Linked DNA regions of Canis lupus familiaris. The protein of the gene in region 3 interacts with the protein of the main gene of each other region in a pairwise test. Links are inferred from orthologs where the notes say so. Each region holds a gene or a part of one and is shown on either strand. Other genes may lie near its edges. The genes, in order: STK16, ZMYND19, SAXO1 and FHL3.

Evidence for each region.
Region 1: the proteins of SAXO1 (region 3) and STK16 interact in binary tests that used the Homo sapiens proteins (3 or more experiments, as listed by UniProt). The two-hybrid records come from large-scale screens. The link is inferred for Canis lupus familiaris from reciprocal best matches to the Homo sapiens genes SAXO1 and STK16.
Region 2: the proteins of SAXO1 (region 3) and ZMYND19 interact in binary tests that used the Homo sapiens proteins (3 or more experiments, as listed by UniProt). The two-hybrid records come from large-scale screens. The link is inferred for Canis lupus familiaris from reciprocal best matches to the Homo sapiens genes SAXO1 and ZMYND19.
Region 4: the proteins of SAXO1 (region 3) and FHL3 interact in binary tests that used the Homo sapiens proteins (3 or more experiments, as listed by UniProt). The two-hybrid records come from large-scale screens. The link is inferred for Canis lupus familiaris from reciprocal best matches to the Homo sapiens genes SAXO1 and FHL3.

Annotation. Positions count from the first base shown.
Region 1 is NC_049258.1:25,667,696-25,672,840, reverse strand, and holds the start of STK16 (serine/threonine-protein kinase 16), read right to left. Parts: upstream 3,235-5,145; 5' UTR 3,140-3,234; intron 2,838-3,139; 5' UTR 2,734-2,837; coding exon 2,648-2,733; intron 2,059-2,647; exon of another isoform or gene 2,044-2,058; coding exon of another isoform or gene 2,035-2,043; intron 1,840-2,034; coding exon 1,620-1,839; intron 1,356-1,619; coding exon 1,222-1,355; intron 1,048-1,221; coding exon 927-1,047; intron 800-926; coding exon 704-799; intron 284-703; coding exon 162-283; intron 47-161; coding exon 1-46. Other genes in the region: GLB1L (beta-galactosidase-1-like protein), read left to right, coding at 4,617-4,685, 4,861-5,027. UniProt on the Homo sapiens protein: Membrane-associated protein kinase that phosphorylates on serine and threonine residues. In vitro substrates include DRG1, ENO1 and EIF4EBP1. Also autophosphorylates. May be involved in secretory vesicle trafficking or intracellular signaling.
Region 2 is NC_049230.1:48,177,457-48,182,318, forward strand, and holds the start of ZMYND19 (zinc finger MYND domain-containing protein 19), read left to right. Parts: upstream 1-1,360; 5' UTR 1,361-1,408; coding exon 1,409-1,459; intron 1,460-2,538; coding exon 2,539-2,598; intron 2,599-3,572; coding exon 3,573-3,679; intron 3,680-4,291; coding exon 4,292-4,432; intron 4,433-4,862. UniProt on the Homo sapiens protein: May be involved as a regulatory molecule in GPR24/MCH-R1 signaling.
Region 3 is NC_049232.1:38,846,270-38,850,697, reverse strand, and holds part of SAXO1 (stabilizer of axonemal microtubules 1), read left to right. Parts: intron 1-3,274; coding exon 3,275-3,477; intron 3,478-4,428. UniProt on the Homo sapiens protein: May play a role in the regulation of cilium length. Stabilizes microtubules at low temperature.
Region 4 is NC_049236.1:4,653,276-4,658,213, forward strand, and holds the start of FHL3 (four and a half LIM domains protein 3), read left to right. Parts: upstream 1-1,517; 5' UTR 1,518-1,604; intron 1,605-4,938. UniProt on the Homo sapiens protein: Recruited by SOX15 to FOXK1 promoters where it acts as a transcriptional coactivator of FOXK1.

The DNA.
Region 1 (5,145 bases), on a different chromosome or scaffold from region 3:
TACAGTCATCATTGAGGCCAGCAGCTGCCGCAAGGTTGAAGAATGCCTGTGGAAGGAGGCGGGCAGGGTGACTGGAGGGTCCTCATTCCCCATGCTACGGTTCTAACTCCACTAATGCCAGTGAGGAGTCTGAAGTGTTTCGTACCCCTTTTATTGCTCACCTGGGGCTCTGCGGGATGCTGAGTTGGTTCTGCACAGCAAGGGCCACACTGTCACCCTTCTGGAACACCATGTCATATGGGCCTTCCCCAAACATCATGGCATACAGCACGCAGCCTAGGGACTGAACATAACTTGGTTATTACTTGACAAGGGACCAATAGAAATGATCTCTTTCCTCTGGACTCTGTAGTGAAAGGTGACTACATAAGCTAATAAGAATAGGCTGACCTCAGCCCCATGACACCACCAGGGTCCAGAGAAAGCACCAGCTAGCTGGAGGCTTCTGCACCCCCTGCTTGCCACTGCCTTCAGTCCTGACACTTAGCTGTACTCATTCTGTTCAAAGGGAGGAATGATACCACTTCCTGAGCAATTGAGTACAGTGTCAGTGACGGTTCCCAGGAAGGAAGTCGAGGGGGATGGGGACATACACGGTTCCTGGGGCCCCATGCAATCGAAACCAAAGACCTGCCCCTCTGCTGCACAGCAGGTACAGAGCGGTACTCCTCCCCATCCATGTGCCCCCCCACATGCTCCTCACCCAGACATCAGTCCGCTCATCAATGACACAGTGGCTCTGCACGGAGAAGAGCTCTGGGGCGCGGTAGGAGATGGTGCATCGCTGGGCTGCCCAGTCCTGGAAGAGTGGCCCCATAGCTCAAAAGAGAGGCACAGGTCATAGTCATGTGACCAAACTGGGGCATGCAACAGGAAAGGCTGAGGATGGGGAACAGGAGGGCAAAGGAACCTGGACACTCTTTTACCTGCAGGGCCAGAGCCTGGCGGGAGCCTTCCACATGGATGCAAGCTTGATTCATGGAACCCAAGTCCATTAAAACTGGCTGCCCCTCATCTCCAAGCAAGATATTGGTGGGCTTCAGGTCCCTGCAGGAAAGTGGAAATAAATGGCCCATGAACATCCCTGGATAGGGAGACTAGAATCCCTGGGGGCAAAAGAATCATGGGGACTGTTCCTTGGGAGGAGAGCAGAGACCACTCAATCCTTTTGGTGAGGCTCTTTCTTTCTGCCCCATAAGCACACTGGGCCCTCCCACTGACCTGTGGGCATAACCTCTGGCATGAATGGCCTCAAGGCCTCTGCAGATACCCAGCAGCAGCTGAAGGATTTGATCTTCAGTCAAGAAGTTGCCTTTGTCCTTCAGCCTTTCTATCTCGTTCCACAGCGTACCCCTCTGCAACACAAGTTTCCCCACGGTTGGACAGGTTTTCTGGGTCTCTGCTCCCTCAGCCTGATCCCTTCCCTGTGTCACAGCCTAGCAGCTCTTTCACCACACACACTACACACCTCACAGTCCCACTTGGGTTCCCCTAAACCCCAAATCTGAAGCGGTCCAACACAGGACATGGTCTCTGCTTCCTAACGTGCTTGGCTACTCACACAGCCCTCGGTAGATGACTCTGTTGCAAGCCCCTCCATTGCCAGGAGACTTTCTGACCTTGAAGAAGGGTAGCAGCAGCCAGGCCTCATGTTTAGTGCCCCGCTCCCTCAGACAATAAGCCACAAGGCGGAGGATGTTGGGGTGATGGAAGAGGCGATGCATGTCTGCTTCTCGTTGGGCTTCCTCCCGATCCTGCTGCTCGTGACACAGGATCCGCTTCAGGGCGTAGAAGTGTCCATCATGTAACCCCTCCACTAGGTCCACATAGCTGAACCCACTGTGGGCCAAAGGGGTCAGTGAAGGACCACGGTCATCTCCCACACTGCTTGGACCCAGAGGAACTCCCTGGGTGGGGAGGGGAGGGGGTGTCTTTCCCAGTCAGCAGAAACCCTCCCAAGACGTGGCTTCAGGAGAAGTCTGAAGATTTTACACTTTGAGCTCAAGGGTAGGAACACAGCAATCTTTGAGGTACCTTGGTCATAATGCACAGCTCTGCACGTGACAAATGCTCCGGAAATGTTACATGAGTAAGTAACAGTCAACATCTGTCAAGTGCTGTGAACCGGGCCCTGGGTGAGATTATTATTATTATTTTTTCTCTTTTTGGTGAGATGATTTCTATGCACTATCTCATTTAATCCTCACAACTCCATCAGCGACAAAAGATAATTATCTCCAGGGCAGCCCGGGTGGCCCAGCGGTTTAGCGCAGCCTTCAGCCCAGGGCCTGACCCTGGAGACCCAGGATCGAGTCCCGCATCGGGCTCCCTGCATGGGGCCTGCTTCTCCCTCTGCCTGTGCATGTGCGTGTGTGTGTGTCTCTAATAAATAAAATCTTAAAAAAAAAAAAAAAAAGATGATTATCTCCATTAAGCAGATGATGAAACCACGGCTTAAGGTCACACCAGGTGGAGCCAGGAGGCCTGGCTCCAGAATCCACTTTCTTGGCATTCGGGTTGCTAGGCTCTGTCAGGGGAGCTAAAGGATGCTTTACAAGGATGAACCTCCTGAGGCCCTATCACGTGCAGACTGCTGTCCTTCACTCACCAGAACCCTGGGGGCTGGCTAGGCGATTTCAACACTCACCCCTCCCCCAGTTTCTGGATGAAGAGGTAGCGCTTGTTGTCAATGAGGACGGTTCCCCGGGAGCAGACACACAGCGCGTGGCCCATAGCGCCTCAGTCATCCTCCTCAGGGGCGGTCCGGGGCTGCCGACGGCCGCGTGCGGGCTGAGGGGGCTCTTCCAGGCGACGCGCTGGGGGCCCCGCGGATCATGCTGGAAGGCAAAGGACGGCAGGGTCGTGGGCCAGGCACGACCCCCGAAGTGCCGACGTGCAGAGCTGGCGCCCGGGCCTCGGAACGCAGAGGAAACGAGCCTTGGCGACGCCGGCTCGGGCACGGCCGAGGTCGGGTGCCCTGGAGCCTCGGGCCACGCCGCGACGCCCAGGCCGCGTCCTCGCCGTCGGGCCGCCTCGGCAGCCGCGGAGCGTGGGGGCGAGGCCCGGGCCCACCCGGCGGGGCCCGCCCCGGCCTCGGCGCGCAGAGCCCCGGGAGGGCCGGCCCCGACTCCCCACTGACCTGGCTCCGGCCGGAGACGAGCGCCGCGGACCGGAAGGAGCGTCTACGTCATCAGGCCGCGCCGGCGTAACGGCCCGCGGTATCCTAGCAACCGCAGGGCATCCGGAGGATGTGGGGGCGCGGAGCTGAGAGGCCGGGGGCGGGCTAAGGCGCGGGGGAGCACGGGTCCCGGGACCCGGTGAGGGTTCCACACCAGGCCTTCAGTAGTGGGCAGGACGCAGGCACCCGCGCCCAAGGGGAGCAAAGCCGGGCTCGGCCCGAGGCCCCCCAGGCCCCCCGTCTCCCAATGCCGGAGGTAGGAAGCTGCAGTCCAGCCCCGAGGGGCGGGGGCCGGGCGGGGGCCGGCGGCCTGGACCCCCACAGCGCCGATCGGTGCACCCTTCGGGGCTCAGGCCTGCATCCCACTACCCTAGTTTCAGTGGTTAAGAGCTTACTAGCTGCGTGACCTTGGACGACTTAACCTCTCAGAGCCTCGGTTTCCCCAGTTGTAAACAAGCTCTAACAGTACCTAAGGTTAGGTGCCCGTACGGGGAGGCCAGGCTGCAGCTCCCAGCTCTGCTAAACTAGCTGCGTGACCTTGAGCAGACTATTTAAAATTTCTGCCTCTCAATTCCCTCATGGGTAAAATGGGAGTGATAATTACCAACTGCACGGAGCTTTTTGAAGATGAAGTGAGATGTAAAGTGCTTAGCACACTATCTGACACAGCCTTGGTGTCAATAAATAGAAGTTGCTGTTATTTTTATTATGATTCTATTTTTCTTATCCTGGTCCTTACATCCCAGGCTTGGGATTGTGAAGGCAGGAGTCATGGAAATTCATAAATTCCCAAGCCTTGGCCCCAGGTAGTTGTTCTTGACAGCTCTCGCTGAGGCAGGGCAGGGATAAATTGAAGAGCGGTGGACATCCAAAGAAGACAGAATGGCTGAGGTGGTCTCTTTTGCTGTAGCAGGGCCACTAGGAGAAAAAAAAAAAAATCCCATTTATAACTTGGTTCCTACTTTCACACCACTGGGAAGATTGATTCCGAACCTGTTTTAGCCCCCTGGTTCCGACATTCATTCATCTAGATTTAACCTGCTATGTACCGAGTCCCGTGCTAGAAGCTGAGGATGCAAGATGGACAAGGTACTCTTCACCCTCAGGGAGCTCAGTTTAGTACCACAGTGCTTCTCAATCTTGAATGCCTTTCGGATCGCCTGGGAATCTTGTTAAAATCCAAATTCTGATTCTAATAGGTCTGAGGTAGGACCTGAGACTCTGCATTTCTAACAAGCTCCCAGGTGATGCTGATGAAGCGGATTCAAGATGTAGAGGATCTTACAAACTAGTAGAGTAGCGCGGGTGGACAAGTCCAGGCTAATTGCCTGGTGACTTGAGGTGGTCTCCGCCCCCTTGCTCGCTGAGGTTCCCTCCCAGGAATCCACCACGTGACAGCCGGACCGCCCTCTCTGAATAGAGGAGCCCTGTTAGCGCCATGGCTCCCAGGAAGCGGCTCTGCCTTCCCGTCCTGCTGTTGCCACTTCTGTCCCTGCTGCTGCCCCAGGTAAAATGACAGGATTGAATCGGCAGGCTGGGCGTGGTGAGGCGGGATGAGATCCAGCCCAGGAGAGAAAGTGAAAATAACAGAACAACAGGCTGGGCTAGTTCCATCTCCTCTGCAGACTCTGACCCCTCCCTCTGTTCCAGGCCTCTGCTGACCCCGGGCTCTCTCTTTGCAGGCAGACAATCGGTCGTTCATAGTGGATCGGATAAATGACAGATTCCTTCTAGATGGGGCCCCGTTCCGCTACGTGTCTGGCAGCCTACACTACTTTCGGGTACCACGGGTGCTTTGGGCAGACCGGCTTTTCAAGATGCGAATGAGTGGCCTCAACACTGTACAGTTGTAAGCAGTGCTCAGGACAAGCCATGGAGGGTGGGATTTACTCTTCCTACCACCCCCCGTCAAAAGGGGATTGGGACAGGAGGACTAGCTGGGTATGAGAGCTCCAGGGCTTCCAGGC
Region 2 (4,862 bases), on a different chromosome or scaffold from region 3:
CCCTAAACTACTGTACCCCTCAGCCAGCCTGGCTCATGGAAAAGCTGCTCTATTCAAATTCTCCAACCGCCTCCCTTTGCTAAGTATAGAAATCAACGTTCTTCTAAGAGCCTACTAACCACCACCCTTGGCTCCCACATCTCTAATCTTCAGCCCTGTTCCTGTCCTGAACTCCTGTCTGGTCACAGCGGACAATCCCACTTTTCCCAACATCCCAGCCCAGGGCCCTGTGGCCAGCTCTTCCCCCAGATGCCCACATGGTGCTCTCTCCACTCCTTACACTGTTCAAGTCCATGAGTCAATGGGGCAGAGCCTGCCCACCACCTTCCTTAGGCCCCTAGCCTCCTAATGCTGCTCTCCTGGTTTCCCCCACTGCCTTTATCACTCATCACGGGCCGTTCTGATTTGCACTCCCGGGTACTTTCAGTGGGAGTGCGGGCGGCGGGGTGGTTGCTAGGTAACAAGGGCGGCGGCCCCCGAGTGTCCTCCCGCCCCGAGCGCCCTCCAGCCTTCAGGTCCTCCCGCCCTAAGCGCCCAGCAGGAGCGAGCGGAGGGCAGAGCGGCCGCGGGCCCATCACCGCAGCCCGGTTCACGGCCCGACCCGCGGGGAAGGCGGCGGCGGCCCGAGCGCAGGCAGTGCGGGGGAGACGGGCCCCGTTGGCACAGGGGCGGTGTCCAGGGAGGGAGTAGGGCGGCCCGCGCCCCTCGCCCCTCGCCCCTCGCCCGCCGTCCCGCGGGTGCGGAGCCGTTTACCGGGAGCCGCAGCGAGTTCCGCAGGACCCTTCGGGCCGCCCCTCCGCGAGGGGGCGGCGCGTGGGTTCGGGGGCCAGGGGCAGGGCCGCGGCCGGGCGTTGGGGCCGGCGCCCGGCCTGAGCCGAGGGCGGCCAGCGGGGAGCAAGACGCCGCAGCGCGGCCGCCAGCACAAAGCTTCCCGCGAAACTGACGTAGCGCGGGGCGGCCGCGCAAGCGCCGCCCTCGGCCGCGCCCCTCCCCCGCGCTCCCACTGCTCCTCAGTGCGCCGGCGTACTTCCCCTCCTCCCATTGGCCACGGCGCGGCGGCGCGCGCAGGCCGGCGCGGGGCGCACCCCGCGATTGGCGGGTCGGCGGCGGGCGGGGGTGTGTCCGCGTCGCACCCCGCCTCCGGCTCCGCTCGCGGTGGTGCGCGCGGCGGCGGCGGCGGCGGCGGTGGCGGCGTCGGCGGCGGTGGCGCGTGGCAGGTCCGGCGGGCCCGAGGCGGCGGCGGCCCGAGCCCGGCCCAGCCTCGTCCCGCCTGGCCCCGACCCCGGCCCGCCGGCCCGGCCCACCCGGCGCGCCGCGGCGCCGCCCCGGCCCGGCCCCGGCCCCGGTCCCGGTCCCGGCCCGGCGCCTCCCGAGGGAGCGGCGCCGCCGGCCGAGCGCAGGCCTGGCCATGACCGACTTCAAATTGGGTATCGTGCGGCTCGGCCGGGTGGCCGGGAAGGTGAGCGGCGCGGGGGCCGCGGGGCCGCGGGGCCGCGGGGCCGGGACGCTGGGCTGGGGCCGTGGGGTCGGGGGCTGCGGAGCCGGGCGGGCGGGCGGGCGGGCGAAGGGTCCCCGCGGGCAGCACAGCGCCCTTCCGAGGCGGCAGGACGGTGTGCGTGCGTGTCGGCGCCCGCCAGCCCGTCGTGGAGCCTCGCGCGGGGTTCACGCTGCCGGCGCTGGCCGAGTGCGGACGGGCCTCGATGGGCCTCCCGGAGCAGGGCCTCCCTCTGCTTCTCTCCCTTACCTGGCCCCGCCCTCCGCGGGTTCGAGGCCGGGGCTTCCTGGCACCTGTGGGCATTGAGGCTTGGCTGTTTCCAGGAGCCGGCCGGCCGTGCAGCTGCTCCAGCCACGGACCTTACCCTGGATGGGAACCCTGTTCCCATCCCCAGCGGCGGCAGCTCCTGGTGGGAGACAGGAGCAGAGGCAGTCAGATGAAGGTAAAACCGACTTAGATCTTAGAAGGAGGCTCCCCGAGCAAGAATGAGACTAGTCCGTTTGGGGGGCCGTTTCCTGCCTTTCCTGCAAGAGGAATGTGGCTTTTTACCTGGGGAAGGGTGGGCTCCCCATCGGCTCTGAGACCTTTTCTTATTCAGTGACTGGTTGCATTCAGATCATCCTTTAAAACTTATTTGGAACATTTCAGAAGAAAGCTAAACAGTTCAGTGAGCACCTGTGTACTGCCACCCATCCTAATAAATAAATGTTTTCGAGGCCTTCTGTATGCCTTGTCTCACTCCAGGGCCCCTCCTCTGTTCCGAGGAAGCCCCAGTCTCAAATGAGGGTCAGCAGCACCTGAAACACAGCTTAGAGGTTAGCCAGTCCAGGGGCACTTAGGGCTTAGGCGCGTATGGATGGGAAGTGAAGCCTGATTCCTACTCCTCTGGGACAGTCTGGAGTGGGAAATGACCACCTGCCTTGGGGGTAGGGTACTTGGTGCCCCTCACCTGCTAGCCTCATTTAACCTGAAGGGGCGGTTTCTGTTACTAAAACTTTACTGTGACCCTGAATGTAACATTGCGAAACGTGGTTAATTTCCAGACGAAGTACACACTGATAGATGAGCAAGATATCCCGCTGGTGGAGGGCTACTCCTTTGAGGTAAGGATGGCTGTTTCTCTGTGGGCCTGCTTTCAGCCAATGCTTGAGGAGGGTCAGGAGGAATGGGTTTTACCCTGTGTTGTTGGTTCTCTCCCACTTTCACCCTGGTGCAAGTAGATCACATTGTGTCGTGTTTGTGATGATGTTCAGTTGGATAAGCCCTGGCTCCCTAGGGGACTGTCCAAGTGCCACCTCATGTTTCTTCTGGCCTTGGCCCAGCGTTCCTCCATCCCCCATCTTCCTGAGCTCCCTTGCCTTCCACTCTTCTCTGTGGGATGAGCTTCTGTTCACCTGCCCATCCTCACCTACCGGCTCCTCCACTTCAGAAATCCTTGAGGGCTCTGTGGACCCACTATGCTTTATCTCAGCCCTTCGTGTTTTTACAGAAAGGGTGGCCCTTGAACAAGAGTTTGAACTGCACAGGTTAACTTAGATGTGGGGGGGGTTTTGATAAACATAGTCTATTACTGTAAATATATTTCATCATGACTTCTTTGAAAACGTTTTCTTTAAGAATATAGCATACGATATGTCTCACATACAAAGTTTGTGTTAATCACTTGTTTGCCTCAGTAAGGTTTCTGGTCCAGAGCAAGCTATCAGTGAAGTCTCCGGAAGTTAAAAGTCCTATGCGGATTTTCACCTGTGTGGGGGCTCTGTACCTTACCCTACGTGTTCAGGGCTTAGCTATTAGTTACTTGTTCAAGGGTTTGTTTTTCTCACTGAATTGTGGGCATTTTCTAAGAGTAGGAAAACTTGTCTCTTTATGTCTACAGTGTTTTGCAGAGTGGTTTGTGGAGTATGTTGGGATACAGGGCTGGCTTCTCATGTCTGGGAGCCTCTGCAAAGCCCGGGGTCCCAGAAAGAGGCCTCATATATTTGCTCTAACTTGTTTGTTTCACTTCACTTCTTTAATAAAGTTTGAAAATGTAGCTGAGACCTGAAGGCTTTTTAACAGACCATTTCTCTCTCAGGCCCGGATGGAAGTAGATGCAGATGGAAATGGTGCTAAGATATTCGCATATGCCTTTGACAAAAACCGAGGAAGAGGGTCAGGAAGGCTCCTTCACGAGCTGCTGTGGTAGGTGTTTATGAGCTGCTTGTTCCTCATTTGGGTACTGCATGCAGCAACCTGTCCCTGTTGACAGAGGATGTGTTATCGGAGTCATGCTCCCCCCACCACCCCTCTTGTTACCTTTGAATCATTGCCGCTAACCCAGAGGAATGGCTCATTTGTATAGCGTACCACTAATGGAGCAGTCTAAAAGTGCACTTTCTGCTCAGGCACTTGTACCGGGCATGGCTCTCTCTCTGGGGTAGGGAGGACTCTGCTCCGTCCACTGTGTTCTTGCTGAGCCTGTTGGTGGGATGTGAGGAATGGCCTGCCTCCTCGTGGCGTCCACGGTGGAACTGCTGCTTGGAACTGCTCAGATGGGGTGTTCTCTAGGCTGTGTGTTTGATGGTTGGGGGCTCCATCCTTGGCTTTTTGCAGCCCAGCTCTCAAATCAAGGGGCTGAACTGTTAGCATGGTCCATCTTGTTTGACCACAGACTGACTGACATACTTGGATTCCTCTCAGCAGCCTTGTTCCTGACGCTCTCTGTCAGTGTGGCGAAGGGCCAGTTCAGATCCCACAGCTGAAGTATTTAGGGAGGCCTGAGGTGGCCGATTGCAAGACTTGTCTGTTTCCTAGGGAGCGGCACAGGGGAGGCATTGCTCCCGGCTTTCAGGTGGTACATCTCAATGCTGTGACTGTGGACAACCGCCTGGACAACCTGCAGCTGGTGCCATGGGGCTGGCGTCCCAAAGCAGAAGAGACATCCAGCAAACAAAGGTGGGTCTCATTCAGGGCCTGCTGAAGCCAGTGGAGGTGCCTCTGGGGGAAAGCCCTCCTCCAAGCCCTTGTGTTTTTATTTCTTAAATATTCTATTTATTAGAGTGTGCAAGTGAGCAAGAGCCGGGGGGTCGGGGGGTAGAGGGAGAGGGAGAAGCAGACTCCCAGAGAGTTGCAGGGAATTCTGTGTAGGGCTAGATCCCAGGACCCTGAGATCATGACCTGAGCCAAATGCAGGTGCTTCACCAAGTAAGCCACCCAGGTGCTTTGTCCTCCAAGCTCTTGATAACAAGAGGAGCCCCTGTGTCTGTTCTGATGCCTCTGTAGACATGGAGACCTTAGTTATTTTACCTCAAAGTGTGGGATCCCTGTTTTTTTCGTGGGGATACAATACTATTTTGATGGTTATTTTTTTGGGTTAGTTTTCTAA
Region 3 (4,428 bases):
AGTTTAAAAAAAAGTATTACCTGGCCTCTTTATCACAGTGAAAATCTGCATTTCCCACTTCCAGTCTCAGGACCCTAGTTGGCCGTTACGTTATTTCTTCATTTGTCAGACTCTGGTCAAACATCTTCCTTCAGCTTCGCCTAACTCTTGGAAGTTAAGTTGTTATGACTTTCCCAGCAGGGCCACTTTAACCTTTGCTTAACTTGAAGTTTAACTCTTGGCCTTCCAGACTAATATAACTTTTATGGCTATGCATCTATAAGAGACTTAACATCTTTGACCAATTTTTTTTCTTGGTTCATAGTCGCAAGGGGTATAGGGACTAGGTAGGGAATGTAACACAGGGAGACAAGGGAGTGTTCTTAAAAAAAAAAAAAGCTACTAAATTTGAGCAATTTCTGGGAAGAATAAAATACTTTTCTCTTACATGACCTTAAAGGCTGTAAGATTATGTGAGATTGGGGACATGCAGTTATGTTGTGGTTAATGGTCGATTTCAGTGAATGTTCTCAGCATAAAAACATAATGAGGAAACATATATTCTGATCAAATTCACTCTTAAGCCACAGTAAATACTTTGGGTGGGGTATAAATGAATTACACTTTTATTTTTTAAAGAGATTTTATTTATTTACTTGACAGAGAGAGAGGGAGAAGACAAGTGGGGGGGGGGGGTGGCAGGCAGAAGAAGAGGGAGAAGCAAGCTCCCCACTCAGCAGGGACCCTTGATTCCAGGGCCCTGGGATCATAACCTGAGCCAAAGGCAGACACTTAACTGACTGAGCCATCCAGGTGCCCCATGAATTACACTTTAAATTTAAAACTTTACCACTCTAGAAATAGATCACCCCCCTACCCCGACCCCAACTCCCACAAAGATCATTTGCTTAATTTGTTGATCAGTAAATACAACCATAAGTGTACTTTCACAAAGAAACTTGAATTTTGTACCAGAAAGGGAGATTTAGTTAACAGTTTCACTTTTTAAACACAGTGAGCAAGGGTTTTGCTTTATCAGTTCTTGTCTTTGAATAACCAACTTCAGGATAGCCCACGGGGCTGGTGAGTTTGGTTGGCATTTACCTACTCTTTTCCTATGGAGATGGCAGGAAATGCATTAAGCAGGTTTTTGTTGTCATTGAGCTTGGTGGGCCTTGTAGAAAGGTTCTTACATCCTCTCTGAGGGGGAATTAGATTCCCTTACTAGCAATAATGGCAGAAAAGGAGGTCTCTGTGCGAAGGGTCCCAAAGCATGGCAGGCCTGTGACTGGAAGGCACTACTGGCCGTTTTGGGGTTGGGAGTACTCTGTAGGGCAGCTTGGACGTTCAACTCTGTTCTTCTTTGCTTGCCTTAGATATCTGTTGATAATCCTCGGAAATGAAGAGGGCTGAACCCTTGAGTTGCCATCAGCGAACACAGGTTTATATGGGGATGTGTGGTCCCAGGCTGTCTCCACCCCTTTTTGGAGTGAGGAGAGCTCACCTCTCCTTGGGAGCACACTTTCTGAGGAAGGCCACCTTGCAGCTCTGCAGCCTACGGCTGTCAGTTCCTAGTTCTCTGCTGCAACTTGTTAAGTATTAAACAGATACCAGCATGAGGCACTTGTACACTCAAAAAGAGTAGAAATATGGAACTGACCCTTGGATTCTTGTTTAGCCTGTTCCCTCCATAAGCCCCAGTTTATACAGAGTCAGCTTCCAGATGTGTCAGGTCACTCAGCTTCCTCTTGCTATTTGCCAACACGGGGCCCATGGGAAGGGAGCCCAGGCCGAAGACCCTATAACTGCTGCTGAGATATATTTTTAAATCTACTCAGAGGGAGTTACTGGGAGTTCAACTGAAGCATCTCCCATTTCCCCCTTAGAGCCCTAGAGAGACCAATTCTCCTGCTTCCTAACTCCCCCCTCCCATCCCACCAAATACTTTGGGCCCTGGTTTGGGTTTATTCACAACCACGTGTATAATTCATGCAAGACAGGTTACAGTGGAGCGTGTTACCTTTGTTAGTCAAGCATGGCTCAGTAATGCTGCTCCAGATTTTGGCAGGGAAGTAGGTTTTATTGGTGTTTGGGCCTGATGTTTTCCTGTCCGGAAACCTCCCCCTTCTCTTGGCGAGGTTGTTTTGGCAAGCACCATCAGGGAAAATCTCCCTTCCACTTGTCCAGTTGGATGAATGGGTTCCAAGCAAAAACAGGCTGTTGTGTAAATCAGAAGCCCTTGAGGGGAAATGTTTGCTTAAAAGAGTTTGCATTTGAACAGTGGGGAGTCAAGACTGCCTTGGGAGACAGTGCAAGCCCAAGCTGAGCCCTGGCTCTACCAGCATCGATGCTGGTGATAGTGCAGTTAGTAGCTTGGAATTTCTGTAACTGTAGGATGTTCTGGGAAGGGAGTACTTCTTGTCTAGTTGAAGACCATCATGCTTTTTTCTGATCTATTGTTTTCATATTCCCTGAAATAATGGGAGCACTGATACCAGAGAGCTGAGACGTGAAAGACTCTGTGTCTTCATCTATTGTGCTGCCCGCTAGGTTTTCTCTAGGATCAAGTAGAGGAAGGCAATCATTATCCACAGGAGAAGCTATTGGGAGTGCAGAAGAGGAGGTGGTAGTACCTTAAAAATAAAAGTTAGCCCCCCAGTCAAGTGACTGGGTGGGGGGGAGAAGGTGGAGAGAGCAGGCACAGACAAGAGGCCTTCTGAGTGGTTCAGTATGTTTGGAGTGGAGTGTAGGCTGGGACGGAGGTGGGAGATGAGGCTGGGGAGGAAGGCAGAGGCAGGTCCAGGAAAGCTTATATACCATGATAGAAAGTCTGGCTTTATCTGGGAGATGTTTTTCAGCTGGAGAGTAAGATGATTTCATTTTGTGATCTCTCTTCAGAGAGTTTATTCTGGCTACGTTATATGGGGATTAATGTAGAAGTGGTGGGAAATGCAGCAGGAAGTCCAGGTAGTAAATTGTCACATGATTCAAGTGAGAAATGGTCAGAGTCTGGACTGAGGGGGAAAGACAAACCAATGAGATGGAGTGGGGGCTGCACTTAGTGAGTGATTATCTGGAGCAGCAACAGGACAGGTCCAGGGTGGCATCTAGGTGTCTGACTTGGGTGAGAGGGGAATGGTGGTACCCTTTGTGAAAGTGGGAAACAGAGGAGGAAGAGCAGTTAGGGGGATAGAGTAGAAGGTGAATTCTCAGCAAACGTCTGTAGAATTGGATTAAATGGAAACCCTTAAGAGCCTTCTCCTGGGTCAATGGTGTGTATTTATTTTCCTTTTAGGAGAGATTTTGGACCTCACAAAGTGTTACCTGTGAAGATCTACCAGCCTGACAAGTTCATCCCAAGTGAAGAGAACATGGATCTGCTCACAACATATAAACAGGATTATAACCCCTACCCTGTCTGTAGAATGGGCTCCATCAAGCCTCGGGACAGTAAATATCCATGTGGTGACAAGATGGAGTGTCTGCCTACTTACAAAGGTGGGGGAGAGTGCTTGAGGGGCAGCTTGGGGAAGGATAGGCTGAGCCTGTGTGCAGGTCAGGAAATGGGTTTTACAGGCACACCCTCTGAGCACAGGGGTTGGGCAAACTGCATCCTGTGGGCCAAATCTGGTCTACAAGCCTGTTTTTTTAGAGCTGGAGAGCTAAGAATGGTTTTTAAATTTTCAAATGATTAAAAAAAAATCAGACTATTATTTTAGGAAATGTGAAAATTACATGAAATCCAAACTTCGGCATTCATAAGTACATTCTGTTGGAGCACAGCCACACTCATTTGTTTACACATTATCCATGGCTGCTTCTGTGCTATAGCAGTGAATCTGAGTGGTTGTGCTGGAGTCTGTATGGCCTTAGACATTTAATATCTGGGTCTTTTATAGAAAAGATGTGCCAACCCCTGCCTTAACTTGCTGTTGGAATTCTACATTGGGGAAGTGTTTCAAGTTTAAGTTAGGTTCCAATTCTGATTGAGTGACTGATTCATTCATCCATTTCAGAAATTATGGAAACATAATGTACATATAGGAAAACATACAGATCTTAATTTTACAGACCAGTGAATTTTGAGTGAACACATTTCTTTAAACAGTGCCTAGATCAAGAAATACAACATTGATCCCATGTAGGATAGAAGGATTATGCTAATAGGCACCATGAATTAGTTTTACCTGTTTTGTATTTCATATTAATGTGGTCAATTCATTCTTTTAAAAAAAGATTTATTTATTTGGGGTGGGGAGGAAGAAAGAGAGAGAGAGAGAGAGAGAGAGAGAGAGAGATGAGAGGAGAGAGAAGATCTCAAGAGACTCCATGCTGTGTGAGGAGCCTGATGCAGGGCTCCATGAGATCATGACCTGAGTGGAAACCAAGAGTTGGATGCTTAACCCGAGCCACCAGGTGTTCCTAATTCGTTCTTTATTGAGCATCTGT
Region 4 (4,938 bases), on a different chromosome or scaffold from region 3:
CAAACTGGGGTGGGGAGGAGTTGAAACTGAAGCAGCGTCTGTCATTCATTCATTCGTTCAATATTTATTATATGGCAGACATAGGAGTAGGTACTGGGAATGTGGTAGTGAACAAGAAGAACCCAGTCCTGCCCTCATGGCCTCATGACAATCTAGGCATTAGGAACAATAACCAAGCAAATAGTTTAATTTGGGGAGGAAACCTGGCCTCGACGGTGACTTGGGATCCGGGAAGACAGGAATATGATTTAGAGATGGGAGAGGAAGGTATTCAGGAGGCCTGGCCTGGGAGCAAATGAGTCTCTGTTCTGAGAGCTTGGCTAGACCCAGCCTGGGGGATGGGAGAAGCCCTGTGGCACCTGAGTCTCTACTCTAGATGCTGAGGTTATTTCTAGAGTCAGTTTGTTGTCTCCTGTTTTGCAAACAGTACAGCACAGCCTCCTCCTCCCTTCCCCACCCTTCTAGATCGAGGCTATTTATGCCTAGTGACAAGCCTGAGGATCCCAGGGGGATTGGCCCAAGGACCTGGAGGGGCCTTGTGTCCCTGGCAGGCAGCAGTCCTCCCTCCTGGGGCGCAGGGAGAAAGCCAGAGGATTGGAAACTGTAGAGGTGGGGGAGGAAGGGTTCCCTCCACTTCCCTCCACCAACCCTGCGGTGCCCCATCCGCGCACACTCTTCACACCCCTCCCTGAGAAACCCAAAAACCATGGGGCCAAGGATTAGGGTCTCCCCTGGGCCTCAAAGGTCATAACTATTCCTGGGCACTGTGGAAACCCAAGGCCGAACTTCTCTGTCCCAGGGTGCCTCCGGAGGTGAGGAGGTGGGGGGTACTTCTGTTTTTGCCACTCAAAAGTTGTGAAATCATTGAAGGTCAAGGCCCAGTCTGGGGTCAGGCGGAGGCGGAGGTGGGGGGGTCCCTTCTTCACTCCCTGTTTCCAGAGAACACCTTGGTTCCCATTGATAGGGAGGGCCGTGACAGCAGAGTCAAGCCACCTCACACACACACACTCCCGGGCCTCCAGGCTTGATTAAGGCCCCTTTACAAGCTGGGTCTAGGTGTGACCCTGAGGGGATGAGCTGGAAGGTGGGAGTGGGGGCGCACGAAGAGGCCATGAGTGAGGACCCCAGGGGACTTGGGTGGGCTGGGTGCCGGCCCCCGTGCTGGAGATCGAGTGCAGCAGGCCGTCTCCAGCGGGCTGCTGGGGGGTGCAGGGGGTGCAGCAGGGGAGGGGACGGCGGAGGCGAGCAGGGGACGGGGGCGGGGTCCCGGCGCCGGGGAAGGTCGGGCGAGCCAGGTTAGACCCGCGGGCCCGAGGGGGGGTGTGGGCGGGGTCTGGCCCCCGGCCTGGGGGTGCGGGGCGGGGGCGGCCGGGGGCGGGGTCCGGGCGGGGCGGGCCCGGCGCGCACTTCCTCGGGGAGGGGTTGGGGCCGCGCTCCACTCGCCCGCTGGGTCCGTGCGCTCCGGCAGCGCCGCCGGCCGCCCGCTCGCCCCGCTCGCCCCGCTCGCCCCGCCCGCCCCGCCCGGCCCCGCTCGCCCGGCCCGCAGGTACGAGCCACCGAGGGACGCGCGGCCCGGCCTCCCCGCTCCCGCCGCCCGCTCCGAGGTGAGCTCCCGCCCAGGCCGGCTCCTCGCCCGGGGCCCCCCGACGCCCCGGGGGGCGCGCTTGGAGCGGGGGGCGCCGAGCCCCGGAGGGCGCCCCCCCACCCCCGGGACCGCCCCGATCCCGGCCGCCCGGCGGGGTGGGGGGGGCTGCTCGACACCTGGGGATGGGGGGGGAAGGGGCCAAGTTTGAAACGGAGAAGCCAGAGTCGAGCGCGGGACCTGGAGGGTTGGGGAAACTGAGGCTCCCTGAAAGCCGGGCGGAGCCAGACCAAGACGCGGGCCCGCGCGGCAGGCTTGGACAGGGGGCTGCACGGGGACCCGAGTCAGGGAGTCAGGGACAGGTTCTGGGGGCGTAGAGTCCCCGAGAGGGAGACCGGAGGCGTCTGGACGGACCTAGGTTTTGTGGGTTGGAGCACTCGAAGGAGAAGCGTCCCCTGACCCCGGTGAACACGGAGCAGCGCCCTTCCCAGGGCTTTGCAGGGTCCCGGGCGGTGAGGGGCCCCGAAGCCTAAGCTTCCTTAGCCCTGTGGCAGATCAGCCTCTGTGAGGCCTATGGAGCCGTCCAGAAACTGCAGACAGGGACGCTCAGGAACAGAGGTGCTCCGAGGAGGAAGCGAAGGGGTCGGGGTGGGAACCCCTTGGAGGCACTCAGTTACGGAGATTTGGGTGTACAGAGGTAGAAATGAGCAGAGGTCACTAGCCCGGGACACAGGTCCCCAAAACACGAAGACAGCTGAGGTGTGCAGAGGCTCAGTCGCGCTGCGTGGGGCGCAGCTGGCTTTGCTCGAGGCGCCCTGACAGCTTCCCAGACAGACCCCGAGACACGGAGGCCTGAGAAAGACTGGGAAGCAGGGGTGCGGGGAAACAGAGACTCTGGGCCAGCCAGAGCCCCGTGAGGCAAGGACCTGAGACAGGCACGTCGGAAAGGAGCCCCAGGCACACACCAAGACAGCCCCAACTTATTTTTAAACTCAAATCATGGACATGCTGCTTCAGCCCTGGGGGACCCGGGGTGAATGAACTGTTCCTCTCCTGTCCCCAAGGCAGCTGCTGGATCCCGCTTCCCGCCCTCCTTCCCCTAAACTGCTCTGACTCCCAGGCCCCATGGCGGGGAGGGGTGGGGAGAGGGAGAGTTTGGGGTTGGTGCCTGATACCGGAGGTTGGGGGCTGGGGGGGGTTAGGTTTCTCCCCTTAAATCTCCTGTCAGTTCCTGGGAGCTGGGAGGAGGGGTCTGATCTGATCCTGACTCACAGCTGTGAGGCCTGGCCAGGGTCCTCCCCGACAGTGCAGGGTGGATGGGGGCAAAGGAGTTGAACGGTTGGCATGGGCAGTTGGAAAGGCTTCTGGGTGCCTTCCAATGGCAGGGTTAGCAGCTGGGGGAGAAGAGTGAGACTCCTGTGCTAGTGATGTCACCGAGTATCTCCCACACCCCTGCTCTTAAAATGTTGACCACCCCGTTTTGCCACCGCTGCAGCATTTTTAGAGAGAAAAACAGGAAAGGGCTCCAGGCTGGGAAGCAGGGAACCTGGGCTCTCCGAGGCCTGAGTGACCTTGGGCCTGGCTTGTCCCTGTGCTCGACTGTAAGATGGGAATGACATGCTCTTCTGCCTGCCTTTTGGGAGATCTGGTGAAATAGTGGATGGGATTTCTCTTTATGGGAGGCCAAGCAGCATGCAGGTGTGTACACCTGTGTACCTGTGTGAGGGGTCTCAGGAGTTATGCTCATTGGCACCAGGCCGGCCCCACTGATCTCCTCAGGCAGCCCCACGGCCTGGGCTTCTTCACTTCCCCTAGTGGAACTGGGGAGTGGGGGTGGGGGTCCCTCTTTGGTCTATCCCTGAATCTACCCTGAGAATGTCCAGGTCAAAACCCAGGCCAGCTCCCTGAGCCAGGCCTGGCTCAGAAATTTGTCTGACCCCCGTATGAGTGAGGGGCTGATCATAAAAACGCCCACAGCTACCATTCACTGAGGAGTCCCTTTCTGCCAGGTGCTTTCCAAGCACCACCATTTCAGCCTGACGACAACCCCGGGAGAAGGGGGTAGGCGTAGAGGAAAACAGGCCCAGGAACCTTAAGTGACTTGCCCAAGATCACCCAGCTAGTAAGGGAAGAAGTCAGGATGCCCACCCCAAGCCACATTTGGGCCTACTATACACTGTGCCACAGCCATTTATCTAGCCATTCTAACCTCTGGGAGGCTCACTGGAAGGTGCCAGATGTGTGTGTCAGGTGTAGGGGTGGTGTGTGTGTGAGTGTGTGTTTGTGTGTGTGTTGAGGACAAGAGTTGAGAGCCATTTGGCAGACTGAGCAGTCTCCTCCGTAACCCCCCCTCCCCAGGCCATGAGGGAATATAAGACTGGTTCTCTTCAGTTCTCTTGCTGTGCCAGGGAAAGTGGGAGGGAGGGGAGGAAGGGGGATGGGCAGGGACAGGTGGGTCTCCATAGTGCCCTTCACTCTGTCCTCATTAGAGCCCAGCTGGACAAACTAGGGGACTGGGGGATTCTGGGAAAGAAACAGAAGCCATGCCCATACCCTATTTGGGGTGCCCCTGTTTCAGAGTGATGACTGCCTCCCAGAGGGTGGCCCCAGGGCTACCCTGGGCCCGGGAAGGTGATGGCTGCTGTGTGCCAAGCCAGAAAGGAAGGAAAAGATTTGGGGCACTCCCCAACGGACCACGGCCACACACTCCACCTGTGTGGCCCCCTGCTGCCCAGTGGCCCACAGCCCAGGCAACCCTCAGATGTTGGGCCAGAGGAAACCCAGGCCTGATTGGCGGGGAGCGGATGGAGAAAGAGGGCTGCCCTCTACCCCACAGCATAGCCCTGCCCCAGAATCACCTCTCTGAAGACCCCAGCCCCTGGAGGCCTCGTGGCCTGGCCCGGGATCGGAACTCTGTGTTCCCCCCACTCCGTGGTACAGAAGGGCAGCTTGGAGTTCACAAACCATCCCTTCAAGAGCCAGGCCCTCCAGGCTTGGGGCGTTTGCTGGCGCCTGGAGTCTGAACTCCAAGCCAGAGCAACGCTTCTTGGCCAGAATTTCCCACTGGGGGTGGCTGAGAAAAGGAGCACTTTTCCATCAACCCGAGCCTGGGCAGGCTCCGGGGACTGCCAGTTACTGGGGTGTGTGTGGGGGGGGAGGTAGTGAGCTGGTGGGTTCCTTTGTCCTCTCCAGGCTCCTCTGCAGCTGTGAGAACATCCCCTTCCTAGGAGTCTTGGTGGTTCCTCTCCACCCTCCCTGGGATCCCAGCCCTTAGAGAGCAGGCTTCATGACGAAGGAGGCTGGGGGTGGGAGCTCTGAATCTGGGGCCAGAAACTGGAGTCAGGGGCAGCAGAAGG